Arabidopsis thaliana: one gene and its partners. The protein of the gene in region 1 interacts with the protein of each later gene in a pairwise test. Each region holds a gene or a part of one and is shown in the gene's direction. Other genes may lie near its edges.

Region 1 (5,108 bases):
TTGCTAAAAAATGGGGCCATATATCCCAAATGTATGAGCCAACACGTTTCATTAGGCCCACTAATTGATCCCACCGGCCTAGCTGCATGCATATCTTTTTTTTTTGGCAATGTTCTATTTTCCAAATCTTTCAGCATTATACGGAAAAAGAAAAACAAACCAACGAATAAATAACCCATACACGACACGAAAAAAATCCACAAAAAAATGTAGAAATAGTTTCTTGAACAGATAAACCTACTCTTTTGAAAGTAAGACAACAAAAAAAAAAATCTGATAATCAGGGGTGTTCCAGTTTTACCATCGACAAACTTTTTCAAAGTAAATGTATCCACTGTCTGTCCTAATCTAAAGCTGAACAATTAAGGGTTTTAAGCCTCAAAATATATATTTCATTTTGAAAGCACCAAAACTATAAATTTCTTGTAGGACAGTGATTTTTCCGGGTTTTTTTGTTTCTCATGTTATAGGTTTAAGTCTCCAATGCATCATTTTGCTATATTTTAAATATTTATAGGCAAAAAATATTTTGGGTTTTAGGACCAACTCTGAGTGTAGCCGTTGAATAGTCCATTCATCGGATTTTTAATAAACCTTAAACATGACACCAGGTCAAAATAAGAATGATTTAGAAATTGATTCATAACCTAACCTACATAATAATTCTTCCTAAAATAAGACAAAATGTCACACGAAATTATACAGTTTGAGATTTTTCTAAACCACTTTAACATAGAAAAGTCTACAAAATTCTACTAATGGTGTAATAGAGACGTACTTTGATAAAACGTAAATCATTCTTTCAAATAGAGTTGAACTACTGATATTCTCAAAGTCAAACCACCAACATCCACTTGGTTTGCAAGTGTTATGTTTCTCTCTCACTAGATATTCTCTTGATAAAAGGTTTTGCACAAGTGTACTAATATATGCAAAAATAAAGGACCCACCAAAATATGCAACTTGAATTTGGATAGATTCTTATCCAAAAATCAGAAGTTTAGTACATTTCTCTAATCTAACTTCACTTACAAAACTATATATTATGTTCCTCTCGGATCTCTCCTTTCCTTTGTAAAATGCAAATGGGAATATTAAATGGACCCATGAAATGAAGTTACGTTACAAAACCGACGACAACTATAATATTTATTATTTATATATTCTTGTGATGCAGATCAAAATTTAAATTGACTAAAATACCCCTTGCCACGTCAGTCTGACTTGGATTTGCCCCAAAAAGCGTTGAAAAAAATATTATTAAATCCAATAAGGCATAAACAAATATTATTACATGTATATTTTAAATATTACTTTAAGCTCCTCATATTCTTCTGTTTTTATCAATTATACACCAACATTTGTTGTTTATAAATATGAACCCCTAATCGTCCCCTTTCAAACGTGGAATATAAGATCGATATATATTACACATTTGAGTAAACAATTAGGCAATGAAGTTTGTGAAGGAGACTGCATTTCTGATAATCTTAATAATTTTTGTTTTCTTAATAATATTATTTATTTTTTTTATAAAATGGTCTGAAAAATTACAATCATTACATCGTTTCTAACGGTTTTTTCTTTCTTAAAGAATCGTTTTTAAATTTAAAATTTTCGATTATTTTTGATTTTTACCGCTAATCTTGGAATTTATCTTGAGTGCTCAAGAGTGAGTAAAATCCCTTACCTCGAAAAATCCCTTTATGGTAGAGGACGTTGGTGATAGTAACAATTTTTTCTCGTAGCTCGGTCATTGTGTCGGCCATTGTGAGATCGAAGAAAGATATTGAGATAAGGTGGGTTAAGCAGTAGATTCTCCGTTTTCCATTGTCCACTAGGATACAATTTTCTTTTTTGACTCTGATCAGTTTTTTCTATTTTAATTTGTGTATCTTAATATTATTATTCGTTGTAACTGTAGGCGAATCTCACCTTTTTTAAAAACATGTTTTAAGAAAGAAAAAAAAAAGTTTGACACTTTAATTATTTTTTCCATTCTATATATCTTATAAACTAAAAATTGTTCTAAAAAGTAGAAAAATTAGTATAACTAAAACCATATTTCCAGATACTTTTTTCCTTTTATTTATTATTAGTTCTGTTGTTAATAAAAATCGTTATAATTTTTTGTATTATGACCTGTCGTTTTTTAAGATACTACAAGAAAACAGTGACCTAACAGAATAAATCAAAAGTTTTTGCTGTAAATAGAAATACACGACTCTTGTCGGGGCCATTAGGGTAATAATCAGACAATTAAATATCTAACAAAACAACAAAACTTGAAAAGAACATATTATTAAAATGCAAGACTGCCCAATCGGATAAGAAGAAACTGTTTTGACAATTTGAAACCAAAAAAAAATAAATAAAACTAAAGAAACAAACAAATTACAAAAGAGAAAAGATGGAAAAAGTTTTCTCCGACGAAGAAATCTCCGGTAACCATCACTGGTCGGTTAATGGAATGACGTCGTTGAATCGCAGTGCTTCCGAATGGGCATTCAATCGTTTCATACAAGAATCCTCCGCCGCTGCAGACGACGGAGAATCTACGACGGCGTGTGGTGTTTCCGTCTCCTCTCCTCCTAATGTTCCTGTAGATTCAGAGGAATACAGAGCATTTCTCAAGAGTAAACTTAATCTTGCTTGTGCTGCTGTCGCCATGAAAAGGGTACTCACTACTCTGCTCAAGTTTGAGTTTTTTTTTTTTTCATAGAAAAAGAAAAACAAAACCTTTTTATCTGTTAGTTTGATGAGTTCACTTGAAGCTAAGAAACTAATCTTGTTTTGTTATGTTTGAGTGTTAAGATCTTATTGGACCTTTTGTATATGATTTGCCATTATCTTCCTTGAGATTATAATTTGCATTAGTTAATTGATTTTGTGGTGTTAATATTGAAAATTTGATAGGGAACTTTCATCAAACCTCAGGATACTTCTGGTAGATCTGACAATGGTGGAGCCAATGAATCAGAACAAGCCTCTCTTGCTTCTTCCAAAGGTTTTACAATACATCTATGATAAGCCTTTTAAGATGTTATTGATAGTTGTTGTGTTTGTTTTCAAGATTTCTTGTAAATGCTAATGGACCAATCTGTATGCAGCTACACCAATGATGAGCAGTGCTATAACAAGTGGATCTGAGCTCTCTGGTGATGAAGAAGAAGCTGATGGTGAAACTAATATGAACCCTACTAATGTTAAACGCGTTAAAAGGTAACAAATTTACATCCTTTCTTGGACTTGAACATGAACATGAACGTGAATTTGTTTGTTATAGGATGCTCTCTAATAGAGAATCAGCTAGACGGTCCAGAAGAAGAAAGCAAGCACACTTGAGTGAGCTAGAGACACAAGTATGTTACTCTCGCAGCGTTCTTATTCTTTCTCCTTTAACTTTGTTTAGCTCACTTGTGCGACAATCTCCATTTCGTGTAGGTTTCACAGCTTCGTGTAGAGAATTCAAAACTCATGAAGGGTCTCACTGATGTAACTCAAACATTCAATGATGCATCTGTAGAAAACAGAGTTTTAAAAGCCAATATTGAGACACTACGAGCAAAGGTAAAATACTTTCTTTTATCTCTCTGTCTACCAAAACTCGCTATTGAAGCATGTTTGTTTTTGGCAGGTGAAAATGGCTGAAGAGACAGTGAAGAGACTCACTGGCTTTAACCCAATGTTCCACAATATGCCTCAGATTGTTTCAACTGTCTCTCTTCCTTCAGAGACATCAAATTCTCCAGACACTACAAGCAGCCAAGTGACTACACCAGAGATCATTAGCTCGGGGAACAAAGGCAAGGCCTTGATAGGGTGCAAGATGAACAGAACAGCTTCGATGCGTAGAGTTGAGAGCTTGGAACATCTGCAGAAACGTATTCGAAGCGTTGGGGATCAGTAGCTGTTAAAGAAGAATCTTGATTTGTAACATTAATCTTAAGACATATGTTAAGACAAAATGTTGTATGTTTTTGTAAAGAATTGTTTTTTCAGATTATTTAAATTTTTTTTTGTCTTCTTCGTTGATTGTTTGTGTTGAACTTCTAATTTTCATTGTACATGTCTTTTGTTAAATTTACAAAGTTTTTCTAATTTCTGTTAAGAATTACAAGTTTTATCAATTTCACCTAGTGAAACTATTGAAATGGTGATGAGGCAACGATGCAAACGTATAATTTTGGTTATTGAAACTAGAAATTACGAGTTTAATCCCAAATTTCGGCTCTTAGAATCGGGTTTCTATCAATAATTTTTGTTTAAATCCGAATTAGATTATAAATATATATATAAATAAAATAACTATAATTAAACCTTATTAATTTATATTTTTTTTCAAAGTAACCTTTAAATTATGATTTAAGATATTCAATTATGTTCGTTTTTTCGTATCGATTATTTTGATTTGGTTCAGATCGGATAAAACATCTCTAATAAGAATTAATATGCTCTTTTGTAGAATTAATATTCATGAAATATTTAGAAATTTTGTATATTATATAAAATTTAGGAGTACTTTTGACGTATTTTTTTTTGTCGACAATTTCTTTGATTACTAACCCAAAAGGGCAAATTATAAGAGAAGTATAGGTGAAATTTGTGGATCCAAAACCCCATGATATAAGTCCAAACTAAACCCATACAATAATACATCAAATTAAGACTAGGTTTAAAATGAGACACGTGTTAGCCACGTCCCACGTGTTATTGCACAAAGGAGTGGTGGAAAACAACCGACTTGCCACCAAAAATGGAAAAATCCGGTCAGATTCAAAAGAATTTCAGTGAGGAAAATCACCATTTTCAGCACTTGATTCCAACAGATTTCAGCTTCTTACTCCGTATTTCACCAGATCCATTTGCAGCGTTTTTGAAAAGGTAGAAAACCGATGTCCTTGAATCTTCAAATCTATTAAACTCTGGAATCCGCGAGAAGATGAGATGTCAAATTAGTCGCTATACGTCGCTTTGCTAATTTGGTCTCAACCAGACACGAAATCCAACTTTCACGATTCACAAGCTCAAAGAGAAACCAACATCCAAAGCCGATTAGATGTCCACTAAACGGTATGAGGATTTACTCTCCTCAGAAACGAGATCAA
Region 2 (5,489 bases), 4.9 Mb from region 1:
GTCTTTAATATTATCTCTTCTTACCCCAAAATTATACAACAATCTTTCAAATTACAGACCACTTTCATGGTCGTTGGAAAAAAATAATTCTTCCATAGTCGAGAATATGATTTGCAAAAATGTTATTAAATAATAATCATTCAAAGTATCTTAATAAAAAAACAAAAGAAAAGTGGAATTGGTCCATAACGGTTCGGGGAACTTTTCTATGAACCGGAAACTGAAATTCGTGAGGACGGTACACGTGTTAGGTAAGAACACGATCCGCTCGTGTGTAACAGCCAATGATGTCGTCATTCCACGTCGGTACAAGACTTTTTTTTTGTCGTCAACAGAAGATTTCAAAATTAACGAAACCGTTCCCATAACCGAAACTCACATAAAAACAAGACACAATAAATAAAAAACTTTAGGTACTTTTCTGTCGTTTCTTTGGTTTCTAACGTCTATTCGTGTTATATTTGTTTTATTCTTCATTTATTATTGTTGAATTTAATTCTAGTTCGAGTTCAGTTACATGATTTCTCTCTTTAATCTCTAGTATTTTAATCCATCAAAATTATGTGGTTGCATACTCGATCGAGTTTAGTACAATTACTAAAATATGTAGCTTTGTTTAGTCATATCAAGACTATAGTAAGTTGTTACGCATGAAAGATAATTATTACATTCAAACGAATGACCACTCAATTCTTATATCAAAAAGATACAAAAAACTAAAGTCTACAACTTATAGGTTCAATGGGAGCATAAATAGTCCATATCATTGAATAATAATGGTCTTCAATAGAGTTGGTTGTTCAATTATTATTTTTGGTTTATAAGAAATGAATTGAACTTTTGTTTGTCACCATTCACATTTTCTTCTCTTTTTTGTACTTTTAGTTTTCCTAAAAATTAAAAAAACTATGTTCCCTTCGTACCTAAAACTTACTTTAAAATAACCAATTTGATGATAGTTTTTTTTAAAAAACTTCAACAAAGATTATATATTTCATCCTGAAACAAAAATTACAGCAAAATTTAAATTTAAACTAGTAGCAAAAAATATAGGATGTGCATATGTTTTCTGTTTGCCACGTCTGTTTTCCATTAAATGTACGCACAACATTGTTTGAGTTCAATTAACTATTTAAGTAATAAACAAAAACAATGCTTGAATTTCACTGAATATAGTATATAAGTAAAAATGTATACACCCCAAACGACGTCGAACCCATCGTTCAAAAGATATTGAAGTACTTGAACTAGTTGTTGAGCTAATCATCATATTACTTTATAATTTAACTACACAAAACGAGTTCTTTGAAAGATGCGAATATATATATACACACTTATACGTTATGGAGAGAACAGAAAGCTCATAAAAGCAATTTATTTCTCTCCCTTTAAGATCTTTTCTTGCTTTGTGTCCGAAACAGACAAAAATTGATTCTGTTGTTTTTTCCCATAATTAACTCACACACACACACTTAACGTACGTGCAATATCTGTATGTGTGCATAGTATATACTATAGCCACACGAGCGGTTCAAAAATGTTTTTTGGAGTTTCCGAGACTGTTGAGACTGTGGGGCCTATGGTCATCGAACCCTCCCACACGCACGAGCGGGTCTCGTTTTGCATGCATCTACACTACACGTACCCACCGACTTTTCCAAATCCCTTACTTTTGCACGTGTAGAGAGAGAGAGCTTTGTACTGAAAGTATCTCATTATTCGAAATTTTTCGTGTAAGAGTAAAAACTAAATCGCAACGTACGTGAAGGAAAACGTGAACCTTGAATATTTAATGTTTTCGTGCGGTTTCATTTTAACTATTTAATTAACACAATATTAGTACAATAACAAGCAGCTCTTATGAAGATAGTGATGAAAAATTGTTATAGATCTATCTTGGAATTTTAATGATCGAATTTCGATTTTGTACGACCACCATCGAGGCATCGACTATAAATATAGTTAAAATGTGGTTGCTGAAAAAAAAAAAAAAATGATAAATAAAATGAAACCGCACGTAATTGTATAAAACCATTAGCATGGGATTATTAGGCCACAATTTGGTAATTAACACTTGTAATTCATTTGAATATGCTTTTACAAAACTTTCCCTTCAATTTCTTTTGGTGTGTGAATAAACAGCTATCAATTTTGTTTTTCATGTACATTAAATAACCACTCTGCACTCATCATCATTTTCTAAAATATTCTTCTATATATATTAACTAGCTTGCAAATAAATGTAAATAAAAATATAAATTTCAATAATTTTTTTTAGAGAATCTCTCTTTCCTCTTCCACCATATAAACAGTGAAAAGCCATTCAAGTGCTCTCTCCCTCTATCTCTCTTCTATTTTTAGTTTCTCTTCCCTTAATCCCTAAACCCAGAAACATGAATCCAAATCTCCTTGAGAAAGATCTAAGAGGTAAGGAAACTACAAATGGGTCAATAAGATACAAAGAAGCAAACAACTTCAGATCTCTACCAAACTCACACACTGCTGCTTGTAAAACTTCACTCAACAACCCCTCTATCTCTAGAAACCATCCTCACAACAAATCAGCCTCAGTCTTGGAGTCGGAAGATGAACATGGGAACGAGAGAGGTGAAAACGAAAAGAGTTTAAGAATGAGGGGCAAAAGTGGAATTAACACAAAAGTATGCTCACGAGGACACTGGAGACCAACAGAAGATGCTAAACTCAAGGAGCTTGTTGCCCAGTTTGGTCCCCAAAACTGGAACTTGATTTCTAACCACCTTCTTGGTAGATCAGGTACATTTATTTTACTTAAAATTCTTATTACTTAATTATTTCCTTCACTTTTGTTACTCCAAATTCCGCAAATTTAACTATTTTTATGTAGAAGAAAAATAAGTAAATATATTTAAAAACTTTGGTGAGTTGAGTTTCCAAAGTTATTAGGCATTTTCGTAATTGTGTTTGGATTTTTTTAAAAATAGTTTTTACAAGTTAGACTAAGTTGTATAAGGCATAATGACATAATGCTTGATAGTAACTAATTTTTATAATGTGAGGGACACTTCTTTGACTACAGGCAAGAGTTGTAGATTGAGATGGTTTAACCAACTAGACCCAAGGATTAACAAGAGAGCCTTCACGGAGGAAGAAGAGTTTAGGCTGTTAGCAGCTCATCGAGCCTATGGCAACAAGTGGGCTTTGATCTCTCGTCTCTTTCCAGGTCGTACCGATAACGCTGTCAAGAACCATTGGCACGTCATCATGGCTCGACGGACTAGAGAAAGCCAAAGACAACGTCAACAGCCTCCTCCGACGTTGTCAAGAGACGCTGAAATGACGGTTTCGTCCTCTTGCCGCTACAATCAAGGTAAGTTCATCAATGAAGAAGATGACGACGACGATGTGTCAGCTGTCTCTACTTGTACGACGGAGCTCTCTCTCACTCCGCCTTCTTCAGCTTACCAGCCTCGCTTCTTTAATTACGATAGTACCCTTGCATCAGGTAACATTTTATTTATTTGCTTAAATATTATGTTTACTATGTTTTTTTTTTTTCTCTATTGAAAATATATTATTTTCATGACCCAAGACATTAAAAGTATAGAAACTTGGAATGTTTTTTTTCGTTTTCGGCTTTCTTGAGAAGTGTTTTCGTGAATCTAACTATAATGATCTCGGTCGGTTGGTCGAGATCGTATTGCAATCTTTATTGGGTGTATCGTTGATCATGATCGGTTTATACTTTAACCGGTACTTCCAAATATCATTTGTGGTCTAAATTTAGCTTATTAGATTCCAGTCTTGTTAATTTTTGAATGTTCAAAGCATATAAAATGATAATTTAGGCCGACATGTTGTATAACCGACGACGAGTGACCACTTCCTACACTTTTTCATATACATGGCAATAATTATAAATTTGAATGACTAGAAAAGAAAGAAACTGTTTTTACATCGTAAGAGTACCTATAGGCATAATAATATAAGGAGGTGAAGTACTATTGTCACGTTACTATTTCAATATAACAAAATTTCACGTGGGTGCTGAGAACTTATTTTTCTAATTTTGCAGGCAAAGATGGTCAGTGTGTGCAGAGAGCAGAAGTAAATGGCATATATGGTAAAAAGATGGACCATCAAAATCACCACACAATCTCAGTCAGTGAAAGAAAGGTGGAGATGAAGATGAGGAGTGGCTATTACTACTTTGATTTTCTTGGAGTTGGAGCTTCCTGATTAATTAGTTGCAGAGCTAGGGTTCAATGCTGAGGAATTGTGAGATAAGAAATGGCTTTAGTTTCTTCTATTTTTCCTGGTTAATTAGGCATGTTTGTTTAACATCTTAATTTGGGTTTTGGAAGAAGTAAGCGGTATGAGGGAAAACTGAAAACAAAAACAAAACCTAGAAGTAAAATAAAAAGTTGAATATATAATCAACCTCTTTTCTGTAGAATTAGAATAAGTGTTCATAAAATATTGCAATTTTCCTTACTCACACACGCAAATTTAACATAGATTATGAAACAATAGCAGTAACTAAAACCAGCGAGTTATTTTTGTTGGTAAATTACAAGCTTTGATCATAAACCTATTGCATTTTATAGTGCATTACATGAAGGATGTTATCTGCTATTTTTGGAATGTCACATATATAAATAATTCAGGAATTTCTAAGTAAATAATCAACGTGGGAAATGAGTTCTTGTTTAAATTTAAAATCTCAATTACTCGGCTCGGCTCGGATCCCTATTATCGGATACCAGCTACATTGTTAAGTTGGGCCTAGGACTACAAAAGAAACCCATATATAGACGTACCTTTCATTTACAAAGGGTCCAAAAAGCTCACATAGAAGTGGGCTTACTCGTTTCTTGTCGTAATTTTGAACTTAACCCTACCCTTCTTTCTCTGTTCAAAAAAAAAAAAAAAAAAAACCCTACCCTTCTTTCATTATTATATCAAGTTCACAAAATTGACATCCCCAAGAAGAAAAAATGGTAACTAGCGATCTGTGTCGAGTACTGTATTTGTACTAGTGTACTTTACAAATTGCTATTCATATATAGAAATATACGCACTTTGTTAGTGATATGATTATGATTCGCATTTAAATCATTATATTTGATTTTTCTGTTTAAAAAAAAAATCATAATCATATTACTTACACACTTTACTTTTGGCTCTCTCATTCCGTCATTCATTTAGTTCTTTTTGTTCGTTTAATTGTTCACTTGGTTAGTTAAGAAATTAAAAATGTTCACTTGATAAGATATGTTAAATGTTATCCTCTAGGATAAACAGAAATAATAATCCTCGATCGAGAATGGTATAAAGTACCTTAATACCTTTCATCCATTGGATAAATAGATTAGATCAGCTATGTACTAAGATGATCTATTTACATCGAAAAATCAAGATTTTTGTACATACCAGTTTAATTTTTTGGATTATCTTTAAATATATCAAGTCCGAGGGACATCTTTTTTCCACAAACTAGATCTCTAATT
Region 3 (3,905 bases), on another chromosome or scaffold:
TGTCCATTTCATTACCATGGGACACTATTGCTCATGATCTTTTATTCAAGGTAACAAATGATTTCTCTTTAGCCACACCGGTCGTCAACAATAGACACTAATAGATCTTTTCGATATTGCTGATCGATTCCACTAATCGTCTTTATTTAGGCAACTCCACCAGTCAACATGGAGTAGCACACTCTGGAATGAAGCGTAGGAAACAGAAGTTTGTGTGTTTTGTCTAAATGTTTTTTTTTTTTGTACTTTGATTGAATATTCCTTTTGTGATGTTACTCGACTATGTGGTTTACCACAACCACTGTTATTACCTCAAGGAATAAATGAAAGTAAAGTTGTGAATTTGCAATCATCAAGTCTATATGTTTTGGCTACTCTTCTTGTTTAGTATAATGTGGACTCGCTCAGCCTATACTTTGACAAACAGAATGAATTTCGGTTAGTTAATCAAGGTCCGGTTATTTATATAAAACTTAAGTTCGGTTCGGATCGATAAATCTTTGATTCAGTTTGGTTCGGTTTTTAGGTCGATCCCTATGAGATACAGATGTCTTGCATAGAAAGTATAGAAGATATGGTATTTAAACATGTGAAATAAAACAGCTTTTTGCCATCTTTTGTTGGACTTTACTTGAGAATGTGGAATGCTAAAGAATAAAAAGAAATTAGGGTAGACAAATAAGGAGGAAGCACATGAATCCAACTCTTGGTGGTAGACATTTCTTATTAGATGACAAAACTCTGTTTTAGGTTAAACTAAGGTGTATAGCTTTCTAAGAAAAGGAATTGTGTTAAAATATAGATCGGTTGTTAGACATTTCCTAATTAGATGACAAAACTCTGTATCTGAGGTTAAACTAATGCTTCTATTTTAATAACAAAAAGGAATTATGTTAATATATAGAGAGTCGGTTATAGAAGTTGTGAAAATGTGAATGCATGTTTTAGTCCACTTACAAAAAGCCACAAAAAGTCACAAACAGTGGACTTTGGATTTTCTTGAAACGTGATTACAAAGGTCAAAATATAAGAATAGTATGTTCTTTAACATCTTTTGCCCTGGAAATAATTGTAGGCAAAAAAAAAATGACCCATTATCTAAATTTTTAATTTAACAAAAAAATAAAGTAAAATAGGCAAGATTGGTTTTATACCCCAATGGAGAAATATTTCAATATGTCACAGTATTATAAATTTTAACGGATAAATTTTCTTTCAAAACATGTAAAGATTTACGAAAATACGTACGAATATATTTACCCTACTTAATTAAAAAAAAAATGATTCAAAATTATAATGATACTATAAAGAGAATGCAGCTGTAGTTTCACTTGTATTGTTTACTTTATCTTACTAAAAAGATAAGAAAATCCAAACACATAATAAATAAACTAAGACGTAATATGCTTTTTGTTAGATTCTTCGCCATTAAGCTAAGCTCTCATCTTCTTCCTCTTGTGTCAAGACCTACACACCATTTTCTCCCCTAAGTCTTAACTTAATAAGTTGTGTAGAAACTTAAAAAAAATCTTTTATGTATAGAGTTTTATCTGATATTTTTTTTGTCAATTACATGTACTTAATATGCGAGCTTGAATCTGGAATCGTTTCTAGCAGTAGAAGGATAAAGTGCGTGCCCTCTTTTTATCACATTGAAAAAAAAGTATATGAAAATGATGCATTTTATTGGTTTGAACTCTGAACCTACTGAGTATCTATACCAAGAAATCTTACACAAAATTGGTCTAATAACTAATATATATTTTGAGGCCCCAAATCAAAATTTTATGTGCTTGTGCCAAGGAAGGATCGGTCATGATAGATTGATAGTAACACAACGACAATACTAACAGAAACCAATAGGCTATAAATCCTATTCATTTTATTTTTTTTACAATATAGTTATATTTTACAAGTTTTTCAGATATTATTGACCCTCTAGTATTTTACCAATTATATAGTTTAAATGGTGACAACCTTAAACACCCAGTCCTTTATATTAATCAAAAAAACAAAAAAAAACAAAAAAAACAATAATCTTACAATGACAATGTGAAATTAATACACTATCTCTGTAGTTAAAAAGTAGTGCTACGAAAGTGATAAAAGTTAAAAAGCAGTATCCAAACAAAAGGTATAAAAGGATAAAAAAACAAAAGTTAAAATAATACAGTAATAATGTTATCTAGAGCACTAATCGACAAACATTCCAATTAATCTCTTAGATTGACTCTGATTATGACATTAATACTTAGCACTTTTTTAGTGGACAATATAACCCCAATGTGAGTCCCACATGTTATTCCTCATTCCTCTCTATAAATAGCCACTCTTGGTTCATTTTGAATCCTCCCCTTCCTCTCTAGCTTTCATTCTCTAGCTTTAACACAAATTATACCAATATCTTTTGCCACTTACATCAATGTTTTATACTAATATGGAGACGGTTCATAACTGCTTCAATGATGCTACGATAACCGGTGATGAAATCATTGATATATTGGCGTTTCTTCAATCAGACGAGTCGGACAATCCAAGCGGTATAAACGAGGTAGTACCGGTGGATGATAAGAAGAGAAGACGGACGATATCAAACCGGGAATCGGCCAAGAGATCGAGGATGAAAAAGAAGAAACGTTTTGAAGAGTTAACTGAAGAGGTGAACCGGTTAAACATAAGAAATCAGGAGCTGAAAAACCGGTTAGCTAATGTTGTTAGTTGTGGTAATTTTATATCTAGGGAGAATAACCGGTTGAAAACCGAATCGGTTTGCCTTGAGATAAGGCTTTTAGAGTTGTACCGTTTTTTAGTGGCCATGCAATCGCCAATCTCAACGAGTGTAAATTACATCACAACGCTCGAGATTTAAGTTTGAAACAAAATAAACAGAAAAACGATGCCAAGTAACTTTGAGCATTTTTGTAAAGGTCAAACGTTTTATACTATGAATTTCACATTTTGGTTCAAACTTCAAAGTTATGCATATGTGTATATATGTAAACTGTATGGATAATATTTGTGAAACTTGATTCCCTCCACATAAACACAATCATAAATATGTTGTCAAGACCTAAACAAGACGTGCCGAAACAAGACCGGTTCACAGTCAAAATGAATCAAAATTTTCAAAATTTTATTTTTCCTCCAAAAGCCGAAAGACAAACATCAAGTTCAATAAGCCTAAGCAGAATACTAAAAGTTTGGTGAACGTAACGAAGTAGCCAAACATAACAGTATAACACTAGAAATTTCCCTAAGTTAACACTTTTGTTTTTACCTATAAACATAAACTATTAGGACGAAACTCTAAACTTGCTAGCTCCATGAAAATGTTGTTGTACAATTAACTTTTGAATTTTTAAGACCTTTAACAGTATCGTCTTTAAGTAAGCCTATATATATACACAGATAATGTAGAATTTTAAGACGTAATTATCTTCTAAAATTAATAATTGATTGAGTTTAACAGTATGATTATTTATTACCTTTTTAATGAAGAAAATGTCCCATCCCAAAATCACAACAACCTTTTGATAGTGTGCACTATATGTTGGGTTTGAAGAAAAATCTTGGACCAAATCACACAAAGGAAAACGTGGGGTTTAATTTCTTTGTGTGGCTAATTAAGTGTATAGATATATATATATATATATATATATATATAATCATATTCATATACATTAAGAGATGCATGCGCATGGTGCATGGAACGAAACGGATATTTTAAAGGGTGAAATTGTTAAATGATATTTGAACTAAACAGCTAAATATAGTATGAAACACAATCGGCATTAGCTAAAATCTCATGTTAATTTTTATAATTAAGTTCACAAAATCCATGTTATTTTTTAAAACACATGCAGTCATTACCATTCTACTTACTTACTAGTCCATATTTTTATAAA
Region 4 (4,067 bases), on another chromosome or scaffold:
TAGTAAATTTACAACTTATCTTTTTCTTTCAGCAAAATATATAGTAAATTTGTTTTCTTTTTGATTTTTGATATAAATTACAACAAAATTTACAAATTTTGGTCTATTTGTGTTTTTTTGTTTAGATGTATTATTGTAGTAGTAAAATAGAGAAGACATCATTTCTACAGGTTACAACTATAGTTTTTACTGACTAATTCGTTAAAAACACGAAACTAATACCTACATTTTTTTATTTCAGAAAAAATTATTATTGTTTTTTTCGTTTTCGTATGAGTATGTTGTGACTATTGGTCAGTTTTTTTAAGGAAAGTTGTTATTACTATTGGTTACAAATAACTTTAAATTAGTTTTTATTTGTTGAACAAAGTTAAAGTGGTCGTGCACATGAACATGATCTCCAACAAACTTGAAAACATTATAAAGCTGAAAGAATTTGATTATTAAGCCATGCTTTTTCTTGTTTTGTTGTATTCCTTAGGAACGGCTTCTTTAAAACAGCTTTGCTGTTAAGAAAACTGCCATGCGAATATTCCCTCCCCTCCCTCTAGTCTTTTTGGTTTGGTATAACTAATAATTAGCAAATAGTAATTATGAATCAAATTAGTTCCTCAGTAGCACTTACGATTTTTCTTTTATTATTAATATATAGACACTCAACCGAATTTGAATTCGGATGATAAGACAACAATATCTCTATGGAAATAAAGAAAATCTTAGGACTGTCAATTTTCTAAATACATACGACAACTTTTCGAAAGACTGTATTTGAAAACAAGACGTAATAACATCGATTAAATCATATCCCAATATAAATTCAAGGTGTAACTTTCCTAATTAGATAGATCCAAGTTCCTTTACTTTTGCCGGTTTTGTAACAATTTTATATCTTATACCTAGCTAGAATATAGTAATCCATCAGATTAATTTCAAATACAAAAGTATGCCGACCAATAAAAATAAAATTAAAATTAAAATACAGTGGTATGCATGCATATCACTATATATAACAGCAAACTAAGTATATCTCTTCTTCTTTTTAATGCTATAGGATGCTTTTTCATCTTTTTGGTCCATAACTTTATCTTCTGTCTCAGAACGTAGATTTCACTAACTATATTTGCAGTTACATATACCATAAAAGAAAGGAATCTTAACCAAAAAAAACTAAGATTCCTTCTTCAACTTTTGTAACGAGGTTTAGACTTGCACATGTTGCAAAAATAAAGAACACGATCAAAAAACAAAATCCCAAAACATACAATAATATTACATAAAATTATCTAATTGGATTATTACGATCGAAACTATCAACTTTTAGCAAAGAAGAAAGAAAATGTTGAATACACAAGCTAAGTCTCTACTTCCTATTTGAAAGTCTAGCTAAACAGTAAAAACACACTAACAAAAATGATTTCCTTTAAACATCGAAGATCACGTTCAACAATCATACGTTCATAGAAGATCTAAAGACCAATATTAAATTTGAGTCTTCGTACTATCCAATGTTCTTTAAGTTAAAACGTAAAAACTGAAAAGTGTTCTTACGAGGAAACGAGGATTGGCTCTCCATACTTGAAATATTAAACTTAAACTTCTGAGTTACATCTAATCCTACACCGACACGTGTCCAACAATTTCCTCTCCTGATGCGACTCATTTCCTCATCTTTTGGTCTTTCTCTTTTCATTCTTAGAAAAAGAAAATTTGAAAAAAAGATAAAAAGAAAAAGAAAAGTAAATCTAAAAAGTTATTAGGAAAAACCCCCATCAATATTCTACTAATGTCTGACCAAAATAGCCTCATGTGTGTATTCTCTCGTCCATAAATATGGACCTCCAACAATGCAATTCTTCCCTTTTCCCCTTCTAATCTCTCTCGCATCTCTACATTTTGAGATCATTTTAAATTGTCCTCTCTTTTATTTTCCGGTTAAGCACCATGATGTCTACTATTTCCCCGGTTTTCTCAACCGAACCGGGTCTATTAACCTCTGTCCTCCCAGCTTTTGAAACCAGTTTCACTCCATGGGACATTTCACACCTCTTCTCGGTCTTCGATTCATTAATCGATCCAAAACCGGTTTCGACCCATGACTATGGTTCAGTAAACCAGATCGGTTCAGACATGTCTCCGACCGACAATACCGACGAGCGGAAAAAGAAACGGAAATTATCGAACCGGGAATCGGCTAAGCGGTCAAGAGAGAAGAAACAAAAGCACTTGGAGGAGATGAGTATCCAGCTAAACCAACTCAAAATTCAGAACCAAGAATTGAAGAACCAGCTTCGGTACGTTTTATACCATTGTCAACGAACGAAGATGGAAAATGATCGTCTACTTATGGAGCACCGTATACTGCATGATAAGTTGTTGAACATCAGACAAGTTTTGATGTTTCGTCAAACCTAACGAAGCTCATCAAACTGTGCCACTTGGCCTTGTAATAACAGTACTGTTGTTACGGTCCAGCAAGATCCGTCGATCATGTTATCATAAGTTGAGGTTTCTGAAATTGTTTCGACGGTAAAATGGGAACAATTTGTAAAAACAATTATTGAAAAATGCATGGATATACGTTATCAAATTAGATTTCGTTTTTTATATATTAATAAATAAATAATTAATTAATTATATTGACGTGTTTAAAATTGTTAACGAAGAAATGGGTTACTGGCAGAATTTGTCGATAACCTTTATCTACTTGTTTCTTTTCACTATTCTTTTCGTTTAGCTTTGTTGAATATACCTTTATATCATTATATATTCAAGAAATAAGCACAAACGAAATAGATGACTACGATATCATAATTAAGTTCTAACAATAAAGGTCTCTAGCTCGTAGAATTTAGATGATCGAGGGTGATCATTTCTATAGTCGTAACTTACGATAGAGAATTTTATCAGCATAAGTTGAGAGGAATATATTACAAGTTAAACGAAAAAAAGAAGAATGTTATCAGCATAATTAGCTATATTCCAAGCATAAATTCTAAAACGTCACACACGAAACAGTGATTTAATTTTTGTAAGATTCCTATCCTACAACTTTCTAGTGATCAAATGTAAATTATTCCCCTGAAAAATGATTAAATGACGCGTGCAACGACAAAATAGATGGGTCTTGGTATCCTAATATATAAATTCGTGGTCTAAAATATAGAATATGAGAATATGGCCTGATTAAATACTATTTTGAATAAGGAGGTCAAATTCAATTATTCGTAAAGAGGTCGACTAATTTCTCGGCAGTCTTAATCACCCTGAAAACATTATCTTTGTTTCGGTCTTTCTTAATAGGTTCAATGCTTTTAATTATAATTAAGCTTTTGTATCCTAATTAATGGGCTAATGGATATATTTCGATTCGAAGTATATATAGTTTTTGAACATGATAATTTATGTATTTTTTGGTCTAAGGTAAGCACTTAAAGGAAAATAAAGAGGCTTAGTAATTGTAAGATAACATGAATTTATTTCCACTAGATGTTAAGTTTTATATACATGGTACGAATCACGAACTTAGCTATATATAGGCAGGGACAAAGTTAGGTTGATGATAATGATGGTTTGATGACCAAATAGGTGCATTAATCATGTACTAACTACACTTAATTAAATCCTAATTAGCTAAGATATATAGTATTAAACTCTTAATACACACACAAGGGCACGTATATATGTGTACATATATGTTCAGGAGCGGAAGTTTTAGGCCCTCTTAACCTTTCACGAGATATGGAGACATGATAATAACAATACCATTGTTATCAAATTAAACATATTATAAGTCTAAAGTGAAAAAACTATTATATTGTCTTAATTTATTATTTGTGTTAATGCATGTGAAGGGGGAAATTATTAGTGAGGATTATAAGAATAAAGATGCGGCCATTATTTGATTTAGATAAATAAAGATTACGGTGTAAATCATGACACGTATTCATACCCATTATTGTTGATTTTTCTACTTTTTGTTCTCAAATATCTGTCGTCCACGATTTGACCATGAATCGGCTCGACAGTAGACAGTAGCCAACTTTAAGTCATGAACAAAATTTTAAAAT

The links.
Region 2: the proteins of BZO2H3 (region 1) and MYB56 interact in a two-hybrid assay, tested with the Arabidopsis thaliana proteins (one large-scale study listed by BioGRID).
Region 3: the proteins of BZO2H3 (region 1) and bZIP4 interact in a two-hybrid assay, tested with the Arabidopsis thaliana proteins (one large-scale study listed by BioGRID).
Region 4: the proteins of BZO2H3 (region 1) and bZIP5 interact in a two-hybrid assay, tested with the Arabidopsis thaliana proteins (one large-scale study listed by BioGRID).

What each region holds. Positions count from the first base shown.
Region 1 is NC_003076.8:10,795,450-10,800,557, reverse strand, and holds BZO2H3 (bZIP transcription factor family protein), read left to right. Parts: upstream 1-2,252; 5' UTR 2,253-2,410; coding exon 2,411-2,677; intron 2,678-2,916; coding exon 2,917-3,007; intron 3,008-3,110; coding exon 3,111-3,222; intron 3,223-3,286; coding exon 3,287-3,362; coding exon of another isoform or gene 3,363-3,444; coding exon 3,445-3,570; coding exon of another isoform or gene 3,571-3,637; coding exon 3,638-3,910; 3' UTR 3,911-4,101; downstream 4,102-5,108. UniProt on the Arabidopsis thaliana protein: Transcription factor involved in controlling responses to starvation. BZIP2-BZIP63-KIN10 complex binds to the ETFQO promoter to up-regulate its transcription.
Region 2 is NC_003076.8:5,874,854-5,880,342, forward strand, and holds MYB56 (myb domain protein 56), read left to right. Parts: upstream 1-2,259; 5' UTR 2,260-2,393; coding exon 2,394-2,775; intron 2,776-3,058; coding exon 3,059-3,484; intron 3,485-4,054; coding exon 4,055-4,218; 3' UTR 4,219-4,478; downstream 4,479-5,489. UniProt on the Arabidopsis thaliana protein: Acts as a cell-specific local repressor of quiescent center (QC) self-renewal by cell divisions in the primary root. Counteracts brassinosteroid (BR)-mediated cell division in the QC cells.
Region 3 is NC_003070.9:21,865,840-21,869,744, forward strand, and holds bZIP4 (basic leucine-zipper 4), read left to right. Parts: upstream 1-2,350; 5' UTR 2,351-2,422; coding exon 2,423-2,869; downstream 2,870-3,905. Other genes in the region: CW7, read left to right, coding at 1-101. UniProt on the Arabidopsis thaliana protein: Probable transcription factor involved in somatic embryogenesis. Acts as a positive regulator of BHLH109.
Region 4 is NC_003074.8:18,453,914-18,457,980, reverse strand, and holds bZIP5 (basic leucine-zipper 5), read left to right. Parts: upstream 1-1,855; 5' UTR 1,856-1,941; coding exon 1,942-2,412; 3' UTR 2,413-2,750; downstream 2,751-4,067.